Danio rerio: one gene and its partners. The main gene of each other region encodes a partner of the protein of the gene in region 2 in a complex. Links are inferred from orthologs where the notes say so. Each region holds a gene or a part of one and is shown on either strand. Other genes may lie near its edges. The genes, in order: pigh, pigq, pigc and pigp.

What was found.
Region 1: pigq (region 2) and pigh share a complex: the UniProt entries of both Homo sapiens proteins name them as parts of the glycosylphosphatidylinositol-N-acetylglucosaminyltransferase (GPI-GnT) complex. The link is inferred for Danio rerio from reciprocal best matches to the Homo sapiens genes PIGQ and PIGH.
Region 3: pigq (region 2) and pigc share a complex: the UniProt entries of both Homo sapiens proteins name them as parts of the glycosylphosphatidylinositol-N-acetylglucosaminyltransferase (GPI-GnT) complex. The link is inferred for Danio rerio from reciprocal best matches to the Homo sapiens genes PIGQ and PIGC.
Region 4: pigq (region 2) and pigp share a complex: the UniProt entries of both Homo sapiens proteins name them as parts of the glycosylphosphatidylinositol-N-acetylglucosaminyltransferase (GPI-GnT) complex. The link is inferred for Danio rerio from reciprocal best matches to the Homo sapiens genes PIGQ and PIGP.

The regions. Positions count from the first base shown.
Region 1 is NC_133195.1:31,130,057-31,136,374, forward strand, and holds pigh (phosphatidylinositol N-acetylglucosaminyltransferase subunit H), read right to left. Parts: upstream 4,268-6,318; 5' UTR 4,150-4,267; coding exon 3,973-4,149; intron 2,490-3,972; coding exon 2,280-2,489; intron 2,203-2,279; coding exon 2,119-2,202; intron 2,023-2,118; coding exon 1,948-2,022; 3' UTR 1,941-1,947; intron 1,844-1,940; 3' UTR 1,429-1,843; downstream 1-1,428. Other genes in the region: zfyve1 (zinc finger FYVE domain-containing protein 1), read left to right, coding at 6,250-6,318. UniProt on the Homo sapiens protein: Part of the glycosylphosphatidylinositol-N-acetylglucosaminyltransferase (GPI-GnT) complex that catalyzes the transfer of N-acetylglucosamine from UDP-N-acetylglucosamine to phosphatidylinositol and participates in the first step of GPI biosynthesis.
Region 2 is NC_133178.1:25,538,199-25,544,011, forward strand, and holds part of pigq (phosphatidylinositol N-acetylglucosaminyltransferase subunit Q), read right to left. Parts: intron 4,535-5,813; coding exon 4,414-4,534; intron 3,452-4,413; coding exon 3,325-3,451; intron 3,240-3,324; coding exon 3,086-3,239; intron 578-3,085; coding exon 466-577; intron 385-465; coding exon 304-384; intron 1-303. UniProt on the Homo sapiens protein: Part of the glycosylphosphatidylinositol-N-acetylglucosaminyltransferase (GPI-GnT) complex that catalyzes the transfer of N-acetylglucosamine from UDP-N-acetylglucosamine to phosphatidylinositol and participates in the first step of GPI biosynthesis.
Region 3 is NC_133195.1:16,064,439-16,070,776, reverse strand, and holds the start of pigc (phosphatidylinositol N-acetylglucosaminyltransferase subunit C), read right to left. Parts: upstream 4,305-6,338; 5' UTR 4,287-4,304; intron 1,273-4,286; 5' UTR 1,270-1,272; coding exon 388-1,269; 3' UTR 1-387. UniProt on the Homo sapiens protein: Part of the glycosylphosphatidylinositol-N-acetylglucosaminyltransferase (GPI-GnT) complex that catalyzes the transfer of N-acetylglucosamine from UDP-N-acetylglucosamine to phosphatidylinositol and participates in the first step of GPI biosynthesis.
Region 4 is NC_133185.1:415,565-422,033, reverse strand, and holds the start of pigp (phosphatidylinositol N-acetylglucosaminyltransferase subunit P), read right to left. Parts: upstream 4,143-6,469; 5' UTR 4,101-4,142; intron 3,996-4,100; 5' UTR 3,981-3,995; coding exon 3,893-3,980; intron 1,185-3,892; coding exon 1,112-1,184; intron 1,021-1,111; coding exon 902-1,020; intron 171-901; coding exon 67-170; 3' UTR 1-66. Other genes in the region: E3 ubiquitin-protein ligase TTC3, read left to right, coding at 6,069-6,134. UniProt on the Homo sapiens protein: Part of the glycosylphosphatidylinositol-N-acetylglucosaminyltransferase (GPI-GnT) complex that catalyzes the transfer of N-acetylglucosamine from UDP-N-acetylglucosamine to phosphatidylinositol and participates in the first step of GPI biosynthesis.

The DNA of each region.
Region 1 (6,318 bases), on a different chromosome or scaffold from region 2:
ATTAGTTAATTTATTAATTTTAATCAAACTGATTTTGTAGGTTGCTTAAAAATTTGGCACATATGTCCCCCTAGTGGTCACTTAACGTCAGAAGGAAATAACTTAGAACTTATTATTTAACATATATGACACTAAACAGAAAAATACTCATTTCTATAAAGTAAACTATAATCTTATTTCTCTGAGATGCTAAATAAACATTACAGGACTACATGCTATAAGAAAAAACTATTTCTGTTTTCTGCTACAACTTAAGCTTTCTTTCAATTACTATTTATTCCTGTTCTTTAAACTTACACGTAATTTAGTTCTACACTAAATGATTCAGTGTATAAATCTAAAAATTGGTTGGAGTGTCATTTTCCAGAGGCATTTTAAAGGGAATGAAAGCACTTAGGGTGTGTTCACACTTATTGTAGAGCTCTGTTCTGTTCTTTTGGTGCAGAGCAAAAAATTTATTACACACGTGGTCCCGTTTCACTATGGGTTCAGAATATGAACATAATTCATCAATCAATCCTTTTAATAGTCACATCTTGTGTTTTTGGGAATGCACCAAGATTTATCTGGTTGATCCACTTGCTGGGATGCACAATATATCATTTCAGCATTAATATCGCAATGTGTACATTTGCAATTGTCTCATCGCAGGATCTACAATGTTGAGTCTGTATTATGGTTGACCAGCACCCCGAATTTTATTGTTTAATCATAAGAAATTTATTGTTTATTATTTCCAGGTGTTTTTAAGGCATTTCTAAAAAAGGGTTTTAAACAGGGTTTCTTCAAGTCAAACTTAAGACTTTTTAAGACCCTTTCAAAAGCATATGAGTGAAATTTTAGACTGATACAGCTCTAAACACTAAGAATTTTGAATGGCCCGGTTACTTCTGTAAATAGTTTTTGTATTAATGGAAGATCATGTAAAAGGATGCGTTGCTTTAGTTTTCTTTCCCTGATTAGGGAATTTAATTAGCTGTAAAAATGTCTAACAGCTTATGTGACATGTATCTTTTTAAATAATAAAAATAATAACAATAAAAAAAACTAAATATGAACCAAAAAATTAAGACTGATTATTGGTGATTGGGTGTCAGCCCGATAGGGTAGCTTTAAATGGAAATAGTAAAATAAGACCTGTGTAAAATGATTTAAGACTCGCAGCACAATATTGCAGTGAATTTCAAACTTAAGGCCTAAAATTTTGTTTTTTGAAATTTAAGACACTTTATTACTTTGTAAGACCTCGGGGACACCCTGTTAAAAGCATTTAAGCAATTATGTCTGTAGCTTTAACAAAGATTACTTGTATTTAAATATTTATACCATACAGTAATTGTTTCAGTGTCATATTTATTTCTGTATTGTTAGTCTCACCAGTGAACCATAGACCATTGTATTTTCTGTTGTACTTATTTTTTCTTGTGATTTGTTATATTTGATCCAAATGTGCTCCCCTAAAATGGAAAATAATAATAATAATAATAACAATAATCACCCTAATCAATCTAAAATAATGAATTATTTCTGAATAGATCTATTCAAGTCTTCATATTAAAATATATATTGAAAATATTCCGTTGTCAGTTTTTTTTAACAAAATTATGCAAAACAAGTGTGAACACATCCTAAAAAACTAAATGGCTAATCATTAAATAATGTTTTAAATGAGGCAAGAATACTGTTATGTACAAACGTTTTTGAATGCGAAGCCTATCTAAAAACTTCTGCATGTAACAAAATGCATTGTGTATTACTGACAATACAAAAAAGCTACCAACAATGTGCTTATGATTCGTTCTGGAGTTTTCCAATCTTCATTCATCTTCAAAGAAAGCCTCTGCTGATCGAAAAACATGGAGTCATAAAGCATATATAGACACAGAACTATGTCAGTCATGTAAAACATGCAGAATATCTAGCAAAACATGAAGCATTACCTCTGCGTCATCTGCTCTGTGCTAGAATTTCTTGACAGCTCTTGTACACTTGAATCAAACAATTGAGCCGAGGCTTTGAACTCTGGAGGAAGAACCAAAGGTGTTCATTTACATACTGAGATGTCACAAATTCCTATAATCTTGCTTTTGCGAATGAATAACAACAGCTGTTTTGAACCTGGAAGAGAGGAACAACACTGGTCACCGTCTCAGGATCTGCTGGGTCCTTGATGAGAATGCACAGATAGTATATGATGTTGTGCTGAGGAGCAAAAACACAAACACTGATTATTTTTACATCTCGATATCTATCATGCGTGAAGGTCACTGTGTGTTTACCATATAAACAGCCTCATTTATGACGATGTCTTTCAGCTTGCTCATCTCAATGAAAGTCGTGCTTTCTCGTCCAGAGGCGTAAGACGAGGACAATTGGACACCCAGAGAGCCTATTATGAGAAGGGTCTCATGGTCCACCTTCACAAAGTGAATATGAATCACCATCCCAACTAAAGTGAGGATGATGGCACTTGACAGAACCGCCGTGTTCTGAATATTAAACAGAAGGAGAATTATATTAGATCAATAAGAGCAATTAGGTTAGATTTATATTGAACATTTGCTTGACATTCACGAAAATATTTCATATATTCTATTATAATATCAAACTTTCAATCGCAGCCATGTTGGAAATTCCTGAATAAGTTCTTCTTGCTTAGTACTAAGTGGAATTTTGAGATATATACTAGGGCTGTATGATATTGGGAAAAAGCTGATATTGCAGTATTTAGTTTTTTGTCAATACACATTGAGATTCTGTAAATAAATTCACCAGATGAAATGAATAGCTCTATTTGGAAAGAATTTACATAATTTTACATTGATTATGATGATTTTGTGGAGTGTATCTGCATCAAATTTAATAAATCAATCAAAAGTATTGATAAAAACAGTAGAGCAAAGCGATGAATGAAAACAACAACCTTCTAGCAGTATTCGGGTACTCAAATTGAGTAATCAAATGTAAAATAGTTTTCATTATTTCATTATGCATGAATGCTTTACATGCTTACACAATCACAGGCCTTAAAAACACAAACATGATTAATTTGGGTTCCTGTTCGACTATAATCCTGCCAAATGAAATGGTTACTGAGTGTATTGGATTTAGAGGGATACGACTTTATTGAACCAACATATTCTGTATTTTGGTTTTATCTTCTTTAAAATTGCATATTGTGATGGGTAAAGAAAGCATTTTTTATGGTTTGGCTCATGTGATAAAATCACTGAATACAGTTGAAGACCACATGATCAGCCTTACTGTAAAATCCTTTTTCTTAGAATAATTGCCGATGGATATTTTAACAGAGCAAGGAAAATATTTACAGTATTTCCAAATATACTTTTCATTTACACTTTTTAGAAGCTTTTTTTTTTCAGAGAAACTATATATTGTTTTCTTATTTTGATCTCCAAATACAGCCTCATGCACAATCAAATGTTTTAACCTGCACTCAGCAGCTGTAATAAATGCACTATAAATGACAACGTAAACTACTTCTGTTTCCTCACTATATGGACGTACATTTTAAATATGTATTTTTTTTCCCTTAAGAAATATTAAATATTGGCTACAGATCAAACCACTGTTGTCCAATGATTTGACCTAGTTAACCCTAAATAACCCAGTTAAGCCTTTAAATTGCATTTTTAGATTAATATTACTAGTATTTTGCAAAATAAATTGTAAAATATTATTTAATTTCATTATGGCAAAAAACAAAATAATTATGTTATCATTAAATTCTTTTTTTAAATAAAATCTTCTCTAAACGTTAAAGAAAACTTGGGAAAATAACTTAGTAAAAAAAAGTTCAATTTCAAAGGAGGGCTAATAAATTTGTTTTCAACTGTATAATAGACGTTTTCGCGCAATGTCAAATCAAAGTCCAATAAACAGTCATTTTTTGTCTAATAAACAGCAAAAGACGCCAAGGCCTTCATAGTCCGCATGATAAAATGTTCTTACCTGGGTGAAGAAGAACACAGCATAAGCAAATAACCACACACAGCAGGTGTACACCATCACCTTGCGCAAGGACAGTTTGGGTGAGGTAACAGTAAACTCTCTGCAGAAAGAAGAGTGCGTTTGGCAGTCTAAAGAAATCCAGTTGCCATTTATGTCTGTGAACTCTTCGTCGGCCATCTCGATCACTGCTGGTTATTTCGCGGTCGGAAAATTACATTAATAAAGACTTCAGAATAAATAGTTTTGCTTAGATTATTATTTTTCCACCAACAGTAAAACCATCTTCTTCTTATGATAATGTGACGTTGGCAAAATAACATACAGGTGCGTTTTCGCCATCTACTGGACTGGGGTTGAAAACTCCCATTCTGGACCACAAAACCAGTTGCACAAAAATATTTAGCTCTCGCTCCAGTGAAAACAAGTACACTGTAAAGTACATTGTAAAAGCCTAAATGATCTTTTTCATTAAGTTATTTACTGAGCTATGTTTCACAAAAATATATTTTTTTAAATAAATACAAGTAAATAATAAAATTTTTGATTAGTAATATTTGCACCTCCAGGTTGGAGGAAAGTTCTTACCCCAGGTAGAGGAGTTTAAGTTTCTTGGGGTTTTGTTCACGAGTGAGGGAAGGATGGAAAGTGATATTGACAGGTGGATTGATGCAACGTCATCAGTAATGCAGTCGATGTACCGGTCCGTTGTGGTAAAGAAGGAGCTGAGCCGAAAGGTAAAGCTCTCGATTTACCGGTCAATCTACGTTCCTACTCTCACCAGTGGTCATGAGATTTGGGTCATGACGGAAAGGAAAAGATCTCATATACAAGAGGCCAAAATTAGTTTCCTTTGAAGGGTGGCAGGGTGCACTCTTATGGATAGGGTGAGGAGCTCTGACACCCGGGAGGAGCTCAGAGTAGAGCCGCTGCTTGTCCACATCGAGAGAAGTCAGCTGAGAAGTCTGCCTCCTGGACGTCTACCTTGGGAGGTGTTCCAGGCATGTCCCACCAGGAGGAGGCCTCGGGGAAGACCCAGGACGGCTCTCGGCTGGCCTGGGAACAGCAGGATACCCCCGGAGTGCCATGTGAAATACGCTAACTGTTTTGATGTTATTAGATTATGCAGTAAGACTATATTAACTTGAGTAACAATTAAAATGTTAAGTATTTTATTTTATTTATATTTTAGTGTCTTTGTCACCAGCAATGTGAAGGTAATAATCGACCAAATAAATGTAGCCTACAATAAAAAAACTGCCTAGTACATTCCCATAAATTGTATTCTACCACCATTTTGTTTTTGAAATATTTTTCAGATGACCTCTCCCCATTGCATTATCGATTCTTTAGGAAATGTATGAGATCTGACTGCATTTCCCATCAGCCCCTGCGGTCGGTAACCTTTGACTCCCGCTCCAGTGAAAACAAGCCGATCAGCTGATCTGACCTGGCAACAACATTCACCCGAATCTACCGGGGAGGGGAATCATTTTACAAGCTGGTGGGCAAAAACAGTTATCTTCACATCAACCGGCTTATTGTTTTTGTGTTTATGACAGAGTCGTTGTCGTGTGCGATGTTTGAGGGAATTCAGCAGCTCGTTTGTTGAAAACTGCGGTGTGATTCTGGCTCGAAATCAGCTTGTTTTGTTCGGTCAAAGCTCTGTTGATCAGTGTGTGTTGTTGGGTGAACATACTTTAAGGACTGTACGATACTAAACCATTATTAATTCAGATACAGAAGTCATATTTTCTAACCCCACTAGTATTTAGTCTTTGAAACTAGAGGAGACAGCCCAGTCACGTATGCTAATCGTAGCTAGCTTGAGTAACAAAAGCCCAGGGCGATAACAACACTCGAATGTAGCTGTTTTCTCAGTGTTTATGTCTGCCAATACAAACATTTCGATACTTATGGCTTGTAGATTGTCAGTTTAGACCGCTTGAACACTTTTAAATCAATTAGAAAGCTCGACAATCTGTCCTAGTGCCAGTGCTACACGGATGTCAACTGATCTATTTATAGTTCATATTGAATATTTGATTTTAAGCCAGTGTCATAATTTGACATCACATTTTGAATTCCAATGAAATTCACAGCAGACGAGTGAGATATATTGTTTAGGACGCTAAATGCATTATCTATGAGGTATTATATAGCGTGTCAGTAGTTGATTGTACATTTAGGTTGCTCTCTGCTGTAGTTGAGTAACTTTCAGAGAAATTTCCGTTCAAGTTCGTTCGCTTCCGTTACCTCGCTATTATATTTGGACGTATAATGAGCGGCCAGGGCTCGTCGGCGGAGAAGGGGCTGAACGGCGTTCTGGTTTGTCAGGAGAGCTACGCC
Region 2 (5,813 bases):
ATTTAGCTTTACCAACACAAGAATAACATTTATACAAACAATTATGCAACATTACTGACCCCAACATGTTAATCAGTAGCGTGTATAGGACTAGCAGAATATTATCAAGAGTTAAAACATGCTAACCATTATGGAAACTAGGTTTAATGACATATGAGCTGGTGTATGATCATCTTAATGGTCGCATTCACAAGCACTGAATTGATGGTCTGAGTAACAGAAAATGTCAGAGAGCTGCATAAAATGGTCCAATAGCTCTGCTGGAATAGTGATGAGATTGAAGTTTATGTTGGAGTGACTCACCAGGGTAAAGACCAGGTAATAGAGGGCAGTGGTGGGCAGCAGGAACAGCAGAATTGTAAAGAGCAAAGTCCCTATGAACAACTGCAAAGAAAAGAGATCGGTCGAGTTCTGTGCGAAATGAACTAAATGGCCAATACATGAATAAATCATGCTGAGACGTACCTGGTCCAGGTCGTATGAGCACGAGTCCACCCTCTGCCTCAAAACGTTCCATTTCTTTCCTCTAAAGAGTCGCCAGAGCGAGGAGAGACCGTAGATCTTCAAACAGTACAGCCTGACAAGACAGAAGAACAAACACTTCACAAATAAAGAAACCACCCTGCAGTACTCAAAGAATAGAATAATGTCAAAGGTAAAATGAAAATGTTACCCAGGATCACTAAACCTCATAGGAATATTCAATTCAATTCAAGCTTATTTCTATAGCGCTTTTACAATGTAGATTGTGCCAAAGCAGCTTAACATAGAAGTTCTAGTAAATTGAAACTGTGTAAGTCCAGTTTTCAAAGTTCAGTTCAGGGTGGTTTAAATTTTACTGCTGAAAGTCCAAACACTAAAGAGGAAATCCATTGATGGGCAGCTCCACAAGTCTCAAACCAAGCAAGCCAGTGGCGAGGAACAAACTTCACCACTTGACAAAAGTGAAGGAAAGGAAAAGATCGAGAGAAACCAGACTCAGTTGGGCACTACCACTTATACATCTGACCTATATAAAATACAACTGACCCATATGAAAAATACATTGTATGGGTCAAATTCATGCCAAAAACCATTAGTATACTAAATAAAGATCTTGTTTCATGTTATAGACTATTAAAAATGTCCTACCATAAACATATCTAAACTACATGTAATGAGATATATACATTTCTAAAAACTAAAATTGAACAAGTTGAAACTATAACTCCAATATTATTTTTACTCTCACATTACAGATTTCAAAATAGTTGCCTTTCAGGCAAATAATGTCATATTCTAACAAATCAATCATCAATACAAAGCTGTTTTATTCAGCTTTTAAGTAAAGTCTTAATTTCAAAAAGCTGATAATTGTGACCCAGGGTCTATGGAATTTTGTTTCTTTATTATTCAATAAAAATATCTAGTTTTAAGGGAAAAAATAAGTATATAGTAATTTAAAAAATAAAAGACTGTTTAATTAAAAAAACTTATGTCAAGGGAGTCCAGTCCAATTCCAATTGCGCGAAAACATAGTGGGTGTGGCCAACCTGTGACCTCAATCAAGATTGACCAATAAAATAAGGCCTTTCATCCCGGTGAAATGTGCATTTTTTTGCAGTGCACATTTTTTATTAATGACATTTTTTAATTAAATGTTTTTTTTTTTTACTTTAAATCATTTATTTTTTAATTACAATGCACCTAATTTTGGTGAAAAATTCATATCATGGGTTCAAAACTTTTCCACACCAAGCAAAACTTTTAAAATCACAAGCAAAGATTGTAGAATGTAAATGGCAACAGAGCAGAGAGCGTGAATGAGTGTGGAAGGACAATTGTGTTATCTGCATAATAGGACAATAATTTTTTGCGATCCAAAATATTTTATCATTGACATAAGTTTTTTTGTTAAACAATTCTTTTAATTAAACAATCTTTTATTTTTTATTAACTATTTACCCTAAAACTTTTTTTTTTTTAAATAATAAAGAAACAAAAATAACTCCATAGGGGGCACAAGTAAAGACTCAGAACTCTAATTATAAGGTTTAGACAGATTTAAGAAAGAACCTTGAAAAAAAAAACTACACTCAAAAATGATATCAAGCCTGATGTCTTTAAATAACAATATATTTTTTCTTTCATGAAACACAAACTCCTATTTCACCTCTGTTTTCTGTGAAACTCTACTTGTACATTGTACACTTGGACGTTCAGTTTTCTTGCTAAAGGGACCAATTATAGAAGTTGATACTGCCCTCTACTGGAAATCAAAGTGTAAAAACATTACAGATACAATGGGGTATATGCACTCAGATTTAGAATTTTCAGTAAGCATACTCAAACGCTTCAGGTGAACTGTGATGCCATTACAAAATCACAATTAAGATCTAGTTTCTTTAGAAATCAATATTCTTCACTGCCTGATAGATATTCAATAAAAAGTGTGTCTCAGACTGGACAAGAAGCACTGCATTAAATTCCATTGTTCAATGCTATATCTTTAAATCTTATGGAAATTTATTTTACCACATTAATTTCAATGGATTATCTGTGCTCGCCTGCAGCTCCTGATGGTGCTTCTGTTTAAACTTTCATCCAATTTTAGCCCAGAACATATAAATGAACGCTGAAGTCCCTGTAACTGATAATATTTTAATTACATTGCTACATCGATACTGTAAAAGCAACCTTATGAAATTCTAAATAGTCACAAGCTTATCAGTGGCTGAACAACTAGCTATGCATATAGCCCATTGGCTGCAGCTGAAATCGCATAGTGTACAGGCACAAAAAATCTGCTGTATGCAATAATACATGTCTTTGAGAGGAAAACCTGCTGTTACAAATTTATCTAAATACTATTTTCAATAGTGTATATGGCGTCAAGTTGTTCACTAAAAGTACACAGCATTCGTATATAAAATTTTTTATTTGTTTTCTTACCACTAAATAAAGACTAAAAAATCTTTATGAGTCCTCTAAATAGAGACTTACAACTTTGTTCACACACTTTTTTTTTACCAAGTCTAAAGCATGTGATTTTGGATGCAGTCAGTTTGTTAGAAAACGTAATATAGAGAAAATAAATAAACCTCACCGTGCTCCATACACATAAAAGCAGTAGATGTGGAAAGTCAGGAGGGCCACAATGTCGGACAGGATGGAGAGCGCAAAAGTCAGCCCCAAGCAGGCTGAGAGTCCGACGTACCACAAGATCCTCTCAATGAAAGGAGACATCAGGTGGATGTAACCTGTTCACACAAATCACAAGATATCATGAGAATCTGGCATAAGTCTGAAACACCAAGAGAATGCTTCAAATTAGGCTGTACGTACTGATCCACAGATGAATGTGATAAAGAAAGAACCTCCCCAGCACTTGATCGAGAGCCTTGTTCATCTTCAGTCCAGCAGGAGCTCCCATCAGCCATTCTAACAGCTGCTGGAGCTCTTTGGCCACATGCTGAAACACAACCCAATTTTTTTTTTTATCATTATGCATGTATATTTATTTTAATATGTAAACTGATCCTAAGTGAAGCTAATATTTTTTTCCTCATTTTATTCTGGACTAATGGGTTTAAAAACAGCTTTGCAAACCAAGAAAACAAAATGAAAAGAAAATGTTTATTTATTTTATTTGTTGTAATATTTTTAACTTTTTTAATCAAATGAATCAAAGATAAATAAAATGAAGTGAAAGACAGAGCCTGTCACAATATATATATATATATATATATATATATATATATATATATATATATATATATATATATATATATATATATATATATATATATATTTTGTTGTATGATATATTGCACCAAATATATTGCAATAAACTATATTACTGTCATTTTAAGACCATTTTATGCCATTACATATTGCCAAAATGACAATATAATAGCATCACAATGCAAGTACACTCTTCCCAAAAACACATAATGTTTTATTCTGAAGAATATTTATTATAATTATAGTCATTTTAACAATTTAATAATTAGGCATTGGAATCAGAATGTGAAAACACATATCTTTAATAAATAATAATAAATATTAACCAAAAAGTGCGAGGTAACGAGTAACATAGGCTGCAATATCTGCTGCCAGATCTATTTTCAGTGTTCAGGCACCCACATAAAAATATAGTACAGTTATTTAAAGTAAATATTGCAGTTCTTTTAACCATACTAACATTGGCACCTCCAATAGAGATGTTGCGAAATCAGCTAAAATGTTGCTAGAATTGGTTTTTATGTACAAGCATTGGGCAATATATATTGCATCGGCAAAAAAGATTGAGGTCATGTCCATGTGTTGTGTGATAAATCGATATATTGATTATTGTGACAGGCCTAGTCAAAGAGACTTAAATAAATAATGTAACCCTAAAACTTTTTAATGGAAATATATTGTCATACTTACATCAGCCACAGGTACCAGAGTATTGGCTAATTTGCTGATACGATTCTCCCTATACAGCCATGAGATGAGCAGCAAACCAAAGGCTATGTCCACAAGGAAAGACACAAAGATGTTTGCTTTTCTGCAGAGGAGTGAAAAAAAGAAAGAGTTAAGAGATTATATTTGATTGAAAAATCTAATTAAAAAGTTAAACATTTAAGTAATTAACATGCTATTTTTATAATGATTTCTAATATTGCATTTCATTCTAAATAATATTTTGAAGAACAAGTAAAAACAAATCTAAACATTAAGATCAAAATGTTTCATTACAAGAATGAATGTAGATTTTTATTTTAGAATAGCATTTACAATGCAACAATTGTCATAATAAATAAGTCTCTTAAAATATCAGGACACTTGACCTTTTTATTAATGCAAGATTAATTACCTTGAGTATTGATGAGTACTTAAAATTGTTTTAATGAGAACAATAATCATTACTTATACATGTTATGAAATTTACTTTTAAAATACTTTTAACTTCAGAGAGTGTTTTATTTCATTAAACTGATTTTTAAAATAGGGATTAAGAATCTGCATGATATTGGAAAAATCTGACATTGCAAAATTTTGTTCTTCTGCAATATATATATAGTGTAATATATATTGCAATATATAGTGTGAAATTTATACAATTTCTCCTAAGACTGAATAGCACTTATTTGAAAATAATTTATTATTATTATTTTATGGTTTAATTATATGGCTTTTGTCTCAAACTCCTAATTTGCTCCTTATTAATAGTTATTAAGGTAGATTAGGTATTGGTAGGACTAGGGATGAAGTATAAGATTATGCAGAAAATGTAGTTTATAAGTACTAATAAACAGCCGATATCTCAATAACATGCATGCTAATAAGCTACTGGTTAATAATGAGAATTGGTCCCTAAAATGTTACCGAATGTATAAATTTTGATTAATTGGGATGATTTAGTAGAAGAGTGAATAATGTAAAAATAAAAGTGAAATAAACATGCTTTATGGTTTTGTAAATGTAAAAATGACACTGCAAAGTCTTTACTGTATAAATAATTCAATATAATTAATCTTCCGATTGGTAAAACGTCCTGTGTCTGAATACTTAATGTCTCTTAGGCCTTAAAAACATGCAAATTATAAATGTCACTCCATTATATTTAATTTCTGCAGTGATTCAACAAATCTCATGTTTTGAACTGTGACACTGGCTCAACTATAATCCCAAATCAACACTGCATATCTATGTGATGTGACTATTGCGCTTACACACATTGTGATATTGATGCTAAAACGATATATTGTGCACCCCTAACAGACTTACACGTTTTTCAAAATCAAATAAACAAAGCACAAGGCAAAAGTCAATGCTAATGTTTT
Region 3 (6,338 bases), on a different chromosome or scaffold from region 2:
GATTAGAATTTTTTTATGCTTGCTCTCTTCCAATTTAGAGAGAAATATGACCTGAGCATGTTTTTATGAGATTCTCATATGTATTATTTAGTTTTTAATGGCAATTCCCAACAAACATTGTGCTTAAAAGGTTACAGTTTACCCAAAAATAAAACTTCTGTCATCATTTACTCTCCCTCATGTTGTTCCCAACCTGTATGAGTTTCTTCAGTGTAATACATTAGTAGATAATTAAAAAATATAGTCTTCAACATTTCTCAAAATATCTTCTCTTAAGTTCCACATTAAGAAAAAAAAGTCTCATACAACGAATAAATGTTGAATTAATATTCACTTTTAGCGATCCGTCCTTTTAAGAAAAGACTCTCAAAGTCTTGAAGCCCTGTTTTAATTGAGGAAGCGGGACAGATCCTCTCTGATCTCAGCCTCATCCCAGGGGCCGTGAATGTTGTCCTTGTGCCTCTGCAGATGAACCAGCAGCAGTGGACAGAGTAGAGTCAACATTAACAGAGCCACTGAGAGAAGAAGAGCTCCCTCGGGCCAAAGGCTTCCCAAACCCCTGACGCCGGCCAAACACACCAGCAGCGCCGCCCAGGGGAAGCTCCAGTCCGCCTTCTCCCGCACCCGGTGCAGCAGGCAGGGCCAGAGCGCGAACACCAGCAGCGCGCAGGTCAGCATGGTGAAGGTGTGCAGGGCTCCGGGCAGACGGGATGCTAGACACACCGACCCGAACAGAGCTGCATTTAGAGAAAGACTTCCCGGCGGACTGGGCTGAGCATACGGGAAAGACACCAGATGAGCCAGGAGCATAACTGCCGACATGGCGTACACGGTATCAGTGCTGACCGACTCGGTCAGAGTCTTTAAAACTGGTGAAAACCCAAAAGTAAATGCTAGGAAGACAGCAGCGCTCTGCAGGTCCGCAAGACGCGTCCGTTTGCCATCACTGGCTCCTCCCAGGACCTCATAGAGCCCGTATCCAAACAGAGCGCAGCCTAGGCAGACGCATAACACGGCAGACGGCTCCAGCTCACCCTGCTCCATGTAGGACCACAGTGTGAGAAAGAGGGCCACGCAGGACACCTGCTGGGCGATAAGGCCTGTCTCGCGAACCACAGCCCAGTAGCGGTACTGGCGGACGCGGATGTTCCGCCGCAGCTCCTCCAGGAAACGCCGGTCCACATAGTTGTCTGGGAAAGGCTGCCGTTCATAGAGCACTTTCCTCCACGGGACGGCCGAAGGAGCCCCTGGACCGCTGTCTGCTCCCATCGCCTGTCCAAATCAGAGAACACAGTGGCTGAACATTAGCTATGCATGATATTGGGAAAAAATGTGACATTGCTCATTTTTAGTTTTGCTGCCACATTAGGAATTCTCTATTGAACATGACATGTTTTTATCTAGGAATAATGTTTCTAAAGGAGCTGTTGACATGAGATTGATCCTGATTTTGGTAAAAACTCAAACAATACAAATATTAAAATAGAATAAAATAAAACACATCTGAAAAATAAGTGATGTGTAATAACAATGGAATGACACAAGGAGAAGTGTTGAACTACTGAAATACTTCATATAAAAAGCTTTTTTTGATGATGGCAGCTTAAAGACGCCTCTCATATGGAGAATGAAGTCACATGAATTGCTAAGGTGTGAGTTCTTCAGAGACTTCAACACTGTGTAAAAATCTTAATGGTTATGTGAGTCCCATCTTTCAAATCTGATCTTTAATTTGTATTTTTTATTGGGTTCAAGTCAGGTGATTGGCTGGGCCATTCTACAGCTTGATTTTCTTTCTCTTTTCTTAGCTGTGTTTTGAATCATTGTTTTGCTGAAATTTCCGCTATGGTTTCCTTTTTATCATCCTGCTAATGTAGATGTTGGACTGAAGCAGCTGATATTAATTTACAATGGCGAAGAAAAGGGGGTTGCTGAAGAACTACTGAGAGATTTCAGCTGCTGTCTGGGCTTTTATTGTCATTCTGCACCTCTCTATCTTCATGTGTTTAATATTTTTTCCCTGCTTCATTTTTTTTATTACACATAACTTTATTTGTAAAATAATTAGATTTGTTGTCTTTGCATACTTAGATTTTTTTGATTGTTTTAAACATCTGGGAAATATTTTAAGTCAACAGCGCCTTTAGTAATATGTTTTCTGAAAAGAAAAGGTGATGTGTGGAATACTTATTTCCCCCACTGTTTTGTGACACGAATATAGTTTCACCAGATGAATCGAATACTTCTATTTGGAAAGATTTCATTAATTTAGATCGACTGATTGATCAAGTGTTTTTCTTTTATTTATTATTTTATTGCTTTGATGATGCAATTAACCCTTTGCAGGTAGTTTGATTGACAGGCAATCCAGCCAATAATACTGCTGATATCCTGCGATGATCTTGTATAACTTTCTGCATTGTTGTCAAACAGGCATCATGGTAGAGTAACATTTTACAATACAATGGTGAAAATAATCTCATATGGGACTCCAAATGGTACTCAGGTACACAGAAAATTATTTTCTATGCAGTGAGTTTGCATAAATCATAATGCATTACGAGCATTCATTCATTTTCCTTGGGCTCAAGCTGCAGTCACACTAGAGTTTGTGTGTGCAAAATTCTGTCGTATGGCGATGCGAAAAGGGGCGGGATTAAACAGAATTATTACTATTAAGCATTAAAAAAAGCGAGCGATTGCTCCGTGTTTTCAATTTCTTTTCTTTTTTTCTTCAATTTCAATTTTAGGCCAGTTAAGAAACCAATATTACCGAATATTACCAAAATATTACCAAATATAAGAAACCAATATTAATAACCTAGGTTGTTAATCACAACAATGGAAAATGTTCACAACAATGGTGGGGTGGGCTCTAAAATGACAATACTCAGATTTTAAATTTGGAATAAATGTTATAAGAAAACAATATTTTATATTAATATTTTAAACAATTTGTAAATTCAGTACATCCAGAGAAACTGAGAAATTTTCATTGGTCTTTAAGTACACTTAATTTTTTTTTTATTGTCAACATTTACTCCCCCTTCACTTGTTTAAACCCTGTTTGGGTTTCTTTCTTCTGCTGAGCACAAAAGTAGATGTTTTGAAGAATGCTGGTAATACGTATGGGTTGATAACCGTATTCAAGGTATACCACGGTTTGGAAAAATCAAGGTTTTAAATTTTTTTTTTTTGCTATACCGTTCCAATGGTTTATGTAGGTTTGTTTGTTTTTATGTTTTTAGGACATAAGTATCTCCAGCAGAAGATATCCTAAAATGCCATTTTTAAATTATAAATAAATCAGTGTTTTTGAAGCTAATCAAGAGGGAGGAAGTCAAAGATTGATTTAAATTATTTAGCCTGACATGTTTATTGTTACAAAATATTTTTAAAAGTTTGTCAAAATAAAATATATTGTGTTCAAAGGTAGAAAAAAGTTTGTTGTTTATCCAGACGATTAAAAAGAATTTATTTTAGAGCAGTAATAGCAATACCGTGATATTTTCATCCAAGGTTATCATACATCACAATCTTAAACCAGCCTATCGTCACCTTAGAATAATAAGGTTTTATCTGCATTCTGAATGATTTTAAAATATTGAGCTTCAAAGTTTTTGCATTGCATAGCAAACAGTATGTGTGTAACATTTGTTTTTTAAATAAAAAATCTTAAAATGTAAACAACTTATAAAAAAACATCGCATAATGTAAATAAGTTGTCATTTAGTAAGAATATGTCAATAACTCAGTTTTGACAAAAATGTCAAATAGAACCTTATAAGGTGACGCCATGTCTAGCTGATACCTGGCACCCTTTGACTTCAATAGCAATTGCTTTGCCTTTGTAAGTAGATGGGTCCCAGCATCCATCATTCATCAAAGTATCTTCTTTATGTTCGACAGAAGAAAGAAACTCATAAAGGTTTAAAACCAATTAGAGGGGCCAGTTAGATTTTTGCGTGAACTACACCCTGTTCTCCACATATCATGTATTTGCTTCATAGTTTATATATAAAGAAAAACATTAAACACCACAAAACTTTAAGCAGCATTGTTTATCTTTGTGTAAGTAAAACGTGCATTTAATCAATCTATTATTATCCTAAATGTCAAGCGGTATCTGACTGACAGCTTCTCACGTCAATCTGATTCATACAGAATGAATCAATCATACAGTCATACAGTAAGCCAGCTGGCGACAGTGTATAAATACAGACAAAATATATTATTTCATATCAAACTTATACAGAATAATGTTCAAGATAAATCTAAAATCTTACCGAATGAGCAGGGTTTCCTGTATTTAGCCGCAGCTGTCAAGCCATCATACATCCGGAAGTGACGTACCAAAAAACAAAAACAAAAGCGCAACCGTGGTATTGACTGAAGAGCGCCACCTGACGACTGTTCCTCACAACCGCCGACGAGTGAAAAGTGAGATGCATATACATTTAATATTTATATAGTCTATGGGTAATCCTCTCTTGATTAATTTGTAACAGCATATGACTAAAATTTAAATAAAAAAACAGTGTTTAGTAATTTGAGTTATTGTTACATTTGTTTGACCCTCATTAGTGGATAATCATATTTGGAGTCCGTCTGCACACAAACAATTTATTTTCATTCATTTTAGTTACTAATATTACACTAATACTTCAGTATTAGAGTATTTAAAATAATTTGACTCAAACAATATTGTATAACACAGGGCTTCTTTCATTTGTAGCGGACTCCTCAAATGTGATTGATTTTATTTTATTCTACAATTATTTTTTTTCATTCATGAGGAAAAAGTGTCGTTTTGGATGTGACATGTCTCCATAATGGATGTGACAGATGTACAATTGCCACTTGTGTGACTTTGGTAAATTAAATACAGTAGTTTGAAAAAATTGACAGAGACATTTATTTATTTATTATTGAATTATTTTTAGTTTAGCACTTTAATACTGAGTAAAACAGCTTATTGGCTTTAAAATGAAGGATTTATTTCATACAGTTGTAATAAAAGTCCATCAACGAACGTATAGAAACACCAAGCTAAGATTCATTCATTCAGATGTAAAAAAAAAAAGCATCAAACCTATTCACAATCAACATGTAGTTCTAGATATTGGCCAGAAGGTGGTGATATGAGATCAGAAATTCAACGAGAAAAGATCAGTAACTAAAATAATGTAATATATATATATATCATCCTTTATATTAAGTCAATAATAATAATAATAGTAATAATAATTGTTTCTATATTTTATAATTGTGCAGAGTCAGATCAAGGGCTGCACAGTGGCGTAGTGGGTAGCACGTTCACCTCACAGTAAGAAGGTAGCTGGTTCAAGCCATATGGTCCAATTGGCATTTCTTGCATGTTCTCCCCGTGTTTGCATGGGTTACAGCAGTACAGGTGAATTAGCTAAGCTAAATTGTCCATATGTGTGTGAATGAGTATGTATGGATGTTTCCCAGTGATGGGTTGCAGCTGGAAGGGCATCTGCTGCATAGAACATATCCTGAATAAGTTGGTGGTTCATTCTGCTGTGGTGACCCCAAATTCATAAAGGGACTGAGCTGAAAAGAAAATGAATGAATGAATGAATGAATGAATGAATGAATGAGAGTCAGATCAAGTTAAAGGCTATGAACTAACTTGAGCAACTATGATGAAGCCACTATTACATTGGAAGCACAAAACAGTCTGACCAATAGACAAACAGAAAAGCACAGAGCAGAGCAGAAAGAGCAGCAGATCCTAGAGGACAGACACTCTCAGAGGAAAAGTGTTGTTGTAGAAACACAGAAATAGACCAGAGAGAGAGAGAAATCATTTTTTTTTACCATACTTAAATAAATCAACTTACTTGTAGGCATGGGCCGGTATAAGATTCTGACGGTGTAATAACCTTGGATATAAATAGCACAGTTTTACTGTTTCATGGTATTCTGCTCAATGCTCTAAAATCTGTTCTTTTTAAATGTCTGGGTAAAAAACAAGAACTTTTTTCCCATTTGAACACAATATATTTTCATTTGAGAAACATTTACAATATTTTGGAGCAGTAAACATGACGGGCTGAATAATTCAAGTCAATCATTGACTTTTGCTGTCTTCATTAGTTTCAACAACAGACTTCTTCACAATTAAAAACAGCATCTATGTATGAGAGATGGAGATACTGTTGTCCTAAAAACAAAACAAACAAAAAAAAAATGCAAATAAAAAATCTTACACATACCTTTGTAGAGCTGAGCGATATGGCAAAAATGTCATCTCGAAAATCATTTTCCATATTGAACGATAACAATATATTTTTAAGTTGTTAATGCTTTAA
Region 4 (6,469 bases), on a different chromosome or scaffold from region 2:
CCTGATGGATCTGCTCACCTGAGACGCCTCTGCAAACGCCTCTCCAGCGCTGATGACAGAGGCGGCTCACAGGTAAAACAGCCGGCTCATTTCACTGACCGACACGTCTCGGAGTCTGGGGATCGCTCCCGGCTGGTCCTCGTCCACCCGCTGACTCCTGCCATACGCATCTGGAGCAGCACACAAACCAGCGTTACGTGTGTGTGTGTGTGTGTGTGTGTGTGTGTGTGTGTGTGTGTGTGTGTGATTTAACACTGTCTAATGAGAACAGAATCATTCATCCAGTCATGAGAGTTCAGTTCTGGTGAATTAGACTGACAGAAGAGACTTCAGATTCGCTGACAGCACATTAGGAAAGTGTCTGTGACGGTTCAAGAGACTTTAGTGAAGATCAAGTGTCCAGATGTGGAGGAGTAATGTCAGAATCTGCTAATCTGCCATTCATCATAGGGGTTGAGACTGTTAACTCATTAAAGGAGACTTATTCTGCCCCTTTCTACAAGCTGTAAATGCGTCTCTGCTGTGTCTCTCTCTTGTGTGTGTGTGTGTGTGTGTGTGTGTGTGTGTGTGTGTGTGTGTTTGAGCTGAGAACAGTACACAGTTGATGTCCTCCAGCTCTCTGAAACTGACTCTTTCAGGCTGTGATCCTCATTGTGGTGTTTTGGTGACTGTCGCTTTAAATGCAAATGAGGTTGAGCTCTTTTTAGAAGAGGGCGGAGCTACAGACGGCTATGCGTCAGTGTGTGTGTTGTGTATGCATCAGTGTGAGTGTGTCTGCAGTCTGTGGCTCCTGTCTCTGTTCATCTAGAACTGCACATCTATAATGCTCTGAGTCTCCGCTGACATGATCTTCAGCAGCTCAAACACTAATGGCTCATGTGGTGTTAGTCTGAATTCTCACCTGTGATGTTGTCCACTGAGGCCAGCGGAGCCGTGTTCATCATATTCACTCCGAACAGTAGCACGAAACAGGTGCTCAGGGCCACCAGCAGGTATATGGGGCCCGCCAGAGCCCAGTATCTGACGACAGACAGACGGAGAGAGAGAAAGAGTGATTGATCAGACATTAAACATCAGCATCTGAAGAGCAGACGACAGACAGACCACTCACTTCTGCGGCCAGTAGGTCAGTCCGGCTGCATGGAGCCAAGAGTCAGGAACAAACGCCCAGACCACATACAGCACTGATGGAGAACACAAACACACACACAAACAAACACACACAACACCACAGATGAAGAACACACCAGCAGCTGCAATGTCTTCAAGATAGAGGTGTTTGTCAAGCAGAAGTACTGTTTTCTGTCATGCTGCATGTTTATTCAGATATCAATTATGAGTCCAGAACAAATAAATAATGCTCAAGTCATTTATAGTGAACACTGTAGTGTTTCAGCGACTGAGTCAAGTCCTGAAATTGATCTGCTGTGGTGATTCTACAGTCGCTATGGTAACATGACAATTATAATAATTGATCTGCTGTGGTGATTTTACAGTTGCTATGGTAACACATCTACAGTAATTGATCTGTTGTGGTTCTGCAGTTGCTATGGTAACAAAACTACAGCAATTGATCAGTTGTGGTGATTCTACAGTTGCTATGGTAACAAATCTACAGTAATTGATCAGTTGTGGTGATTCCACGGTTGCTATGGTAACAAAACTACAGTAATTGATCAGTTGTGGTGATTCTACGGTTGCTATGGTAACAAAACTACAGTAATTGATCAGTTGTGGTGATTCTACGGTTGCTATGGTACCACAACAGCTACAGTAATCTATGAGTCAGAACTGTATTCTTCTACAACTTTAGAGCACAATACACCACACTTTACCTGAGTAAACTGAAGTGTACTACAGTACTTCTTACTACAGTCAGCATTCAGCATCATAGCTAAACATACAGACAGTATAATGCCCTGTACTCTAGTGTGTGTGTGTGTGTGTGTGTGTGTGTGTGTGTGTGTGAGACACTGCTGTCAGTCTGTAGATTCTGTTGATGTTTCTGCCACAGGATTAAAGCCTCTCTTCATCTGTAAAGGACAATAGCCGCGTTTCCACTATCGCGCCTAAAGCGAGCGAGCCAGGGCGAGCCAAGGCCAGTGGGGTTTCCACTGTCACTTCCGGGGCCTAATCGGGCCAAAGCGGGGCTTTCTTGGGGCCAGCGGCCGGCCTTTTTCGGCCCGCCGAATACCTTGGGCCAAGGAGGGCCAGCTGGGGCTTCGGGGCGGAGTGAAAGAAGAGGCGGACAGTTTTCTGATCGCACATGAGTACATGCGCCAAACAAATAAAGAAATAAGGGAAAGAAAACATCTAGCCTTATAGTCTGGGGTCTTTTTGCGTATGATCACCCTTATGTTTCCCTTTTAAATGTAAGGCTCCTGCATAAAATAATAAAGTTGTTTTAATTTATAGTGACGTTCTTTGCTGCGTCCTCCTTTATGTTTCAACGCATAATAATCTTTACACCATATTAAAAACACAGCAGACAGTAAAAGTTTTCGAGAGTTTTTGTCAAGTTTAAAATGTTTGTTTGTTTGTGCACGTTTAGATGCCTGTATGTGTGTGTGAGACCGGGCAAAAGCGCTCCTTCACAGCTCTGTTATGCCGCGAGCGGCTTTTTTCTTTATTTATTTTGGAGATAATACACATATAAATACAACAGAAAGACATAAACTTAACAAAATACGTGCCCACTTTCGTAGACTTTAAACAATATATTGTCATATCTTGATAAAATAGCCTAAGGTATATTGAAATATAATTTAAAGAATTACAAATATCGGATATATAATCACATTAAATAAATTAACCAATATAAAATAAACAAAAGCTAACTATAACAATGTAGGTAGCCTATATACAATACATAAATCAAACCGTTTTAAAGCCACATATAGCCTAACTTTCATTTTGCAAAGACCTGTCTGAAAAAAAAAAAGATTTTCGATATTTTTTAAAAACAATAAACACCGGAGAAGGTTTGAAATATTTATATAAAGTAAATATTTATATAAGTAAATATTTATAAAGTATTTGGATACGATGATATTAATCAAATCGCGCAAACAGAGCATTATTTGAGTGAGTGAAAGCAGAATCTCCTATACCTTTTTTTCTGTCACTCAGTCCTGCGCAGCACTCGCTGCTTTAAACGCATATGGGGGAAGTCCAAACACAAAATGTGTTCTATATCCTCAAACAACTGTTTATGTTTTTATTTGACGTGGTTAAATTTATAAATGAAACTTTAAATGAGGAGTTTTAGTGAATAGCTGCCGAGCGCAACAAATATGGCTATATTTTATTAGGCTACTCGCTCTTGTGCTGAAAACTTAACACGACTTCTATCAACAAGAGGATGTTAAAAAATACATGACATATTGAGTTATAAAGGAGAATTTCTGTGGCTTTATATTATGGATGTGTGCGCTCTCTGTGTTGGGTCCCTGCGTTAGTGGCGAGAGCACTCCATGCACAATGCAGTCGGTCGGCGAGTAAACAAATGTAATGAATGGAAATACACAGGTCTGTGCGTATAGACATGTCATGTACTGCTGTACAGTAACGTGTCGTTTGTTTGTTTCGGTTGTCTTCATTTTAATGGTTTCGTTTCGTGATGATTTATGGTGTGCTTTATCTGCCTGATTCTCGCTGAAGTGGGCGGGTTGTGTGACGTTTGATTCGGGGACGTTCTGTGGGCGGTGTTTGCGTGACGCGCTGTGAGCTTTAGCCCGACAGTGGAAACGCGACATGATTTCAGCCTCATTTCTCAACCTCCCGGGCTGTTGGCCCGCCCCGGCCCGATTAAAGCCCTGGCTCGCACTGGCCCGATAGTGGAAATGCGGCTAATGTGTGTGCAATATCAGTACAGATCGAGTTAGAGACGTACAGAAGCCCAGCTGAGCGCCCAGGAACAGCACAAAGCCGTAGATGGCTCTTTCCGGCAGAGGAGAAGGAGAGTTCTCCACCATCACCATCTCCAGCAGCGACACCTGCGCGCGCACACACACACACACATCAATGCTCCAAACTAACACATCACACACGCTTTAGTTTCGATAAATACTATAACATATAAAACGAAAAACAGAACATACATGTCTTATTTCCTGATGGTGCTTCCTTGTGTTTCTGCGCAGGCGCACTGCGTCCTGCCGCCCCCGCGCGGCCTGGAGACAAACAAACGCGCGCGCACCTATTATTTGGTTTAATGCTCTGATTTTTATTTTCCATATAAATATTGTTTGTAAAAAATAATGTTGATTTTGAAGACGCTCTCTCTCCTTCATTCACTAATATCTGCGTGTATTAGCTCGGTCTGATATTCTGTGTGTTTATGACAGATTAAGAGCATGTACTTTACCGTACATGTTAAATATTTGTTGTGTTCAGCAGTTAAAATGAAGCGTATAAGTGTTCAAGTAAAACAACTAAAGAAGGCAGTAAATGACAACAGAATTAAAATGACTGGGTGAGCTGTGCCTTTAAGACAAACGTTGGTGTCCGCGGCCGAACAGCAGAGGGCGCGCTGACGTCACTCCGTCTAGAAGGGATACAGCTGCGGATTCTCACATTAGTATAGCACAATCTATACGACACTACAACAATATTGATTATTGTACATTACTGTGAGGGTAGAAGATAATTAAATACAGTTTAATGGGTAATTTAATAAATAATATGAATAATACTCTGTATAATTACTGTTTTTACATTACTGTGAGGGTTGTAGTAATACAATACAGTTTAATGAGCATTTTAATAAATAATATGAGTGATATTCGGTATAATTTCTGTTAATCCATTGCTGTGAGGTTTGGGGTTGGGGTAGGTAGACGTCAATACAATGTGCAATTAACTCAAATACAATTAATGGCTAATTTAAAATAAAGTAAAAACAAGTTGTTACTTCGGACAACACCTGTATCCCTTCTAGTGGTGAACAGCAGAGGGCGCGCTGATGCCACTCGCGCGGGCGAACAGCAGAGGGCGCGCTTCTTACTCCGCGTCAGTTTCGCGCTGCAGTTGATGCGTGAGGTTAAACATCAGGAAACAGTGGAGCTGCTCTTCTGAATCAGGTCAGTTTATAAACATTTCTCCCCGAATATTCACGACTGATGGACGGTTAGCTGCGGCAGCGCGTGTTCTTACTTCCGCGACGCCCCGCGTGTCATCAACACAGGTAAAGCGTCTGCCAGCCCAGAATGCGTCGCGTTCAACTTCCTGGTAAAGTTTGCGCCTTTCAGTGCGATAATTACAGATGTGCGAGCTGATCTTTAGAGGAGAAGAGATTAAACGCTCAATAATGGCGGAGAAATGACGAGTTTGGCGCCTTTTAGAGGCAGAAAAACACGAGCTGAAGGAGAAAAGCTGAACTCCTGAGGCGAAGCTGCGGATAAAGCGAGCAGGAGAGTTTACCTCAGCTTTACCACGGCACAGCTCGGGTTTGAGGAGAGGTTTGGCCAGGTTTGTGTCAGTTTAGACAGTAAACAGCTCGTGGTTTTGCAATGGAAGCCTCTGGGTCAGGTGTGTCTCCCCGAGGTGCATCATGGGAAGCGAGGCTGCTCTGATGTTTGCTGTAAAACTGTGCAGTTGGTGTTTACTAGGTTTATATAATGTTAGACACATCCACTCATTCCTGAACTCTTGTGACAATCTGTGACCCTCTCCATATGTTGTTCACCGCGCTACTGTGAATATTGGGTGTGGAACTGAACATTAGCACTGTTTAATTGACTGAACTGTTGTACTTCAGGCTCAGCCCTGCTCCTGGAGATCCACCTACCTACAGCATTCAGCTCCAACCCATATTAAACACACCTGCCTGTAGTTATGCAGTGCTGCTCAGGTGAGTTTGATCAGGGCTGGAGCTGAAGTGTGCAGGAAGGCAGATGTCCAGGAGCAGGGTTGAGCACCTCTGATGTACTTCGACAGTCATTTGGCTGACAATGTGATTTCTCTATGTCGTATGGGCTGAGAATGCTCTCTGCGAATGTAAAAACACCTTTACCCCCATCGAGATGCAAATCTTTTGCTGATTTTCCTGATTTTGTGTGTGAAGCAGAATGTCAGACAGTGACGACTCAGATCTGGAGGAAGGACCCAATGTTCAGAGGCACAAAACCAAGATTGTGAGTATATTTCAGTCATTTATTGCTTTCACAGCAGTGGCGAGGACAGAAGCGTTACAGTGAGTGGACAACAGTGCTCAAACTGAGTGTGTAGTGAGTCTATTCTTATATTGATCATCTCTGATAATATTAATAGATTTAAAGAGGCGTGAGCTGACATTTCTGACTATCCAACACTCTGTCTAGAAAAATGGCAGAAATGTGTGTAGAGTAAGTCTGCAGGGCATTGGGAAACACTGACATTGCTATATTTAGTTTTTATGTGATGGATTGTGATTAGATGTAATTTTATTAGATCATTTAAACAACTGTTATTCTGAAAGAAATTATAATTT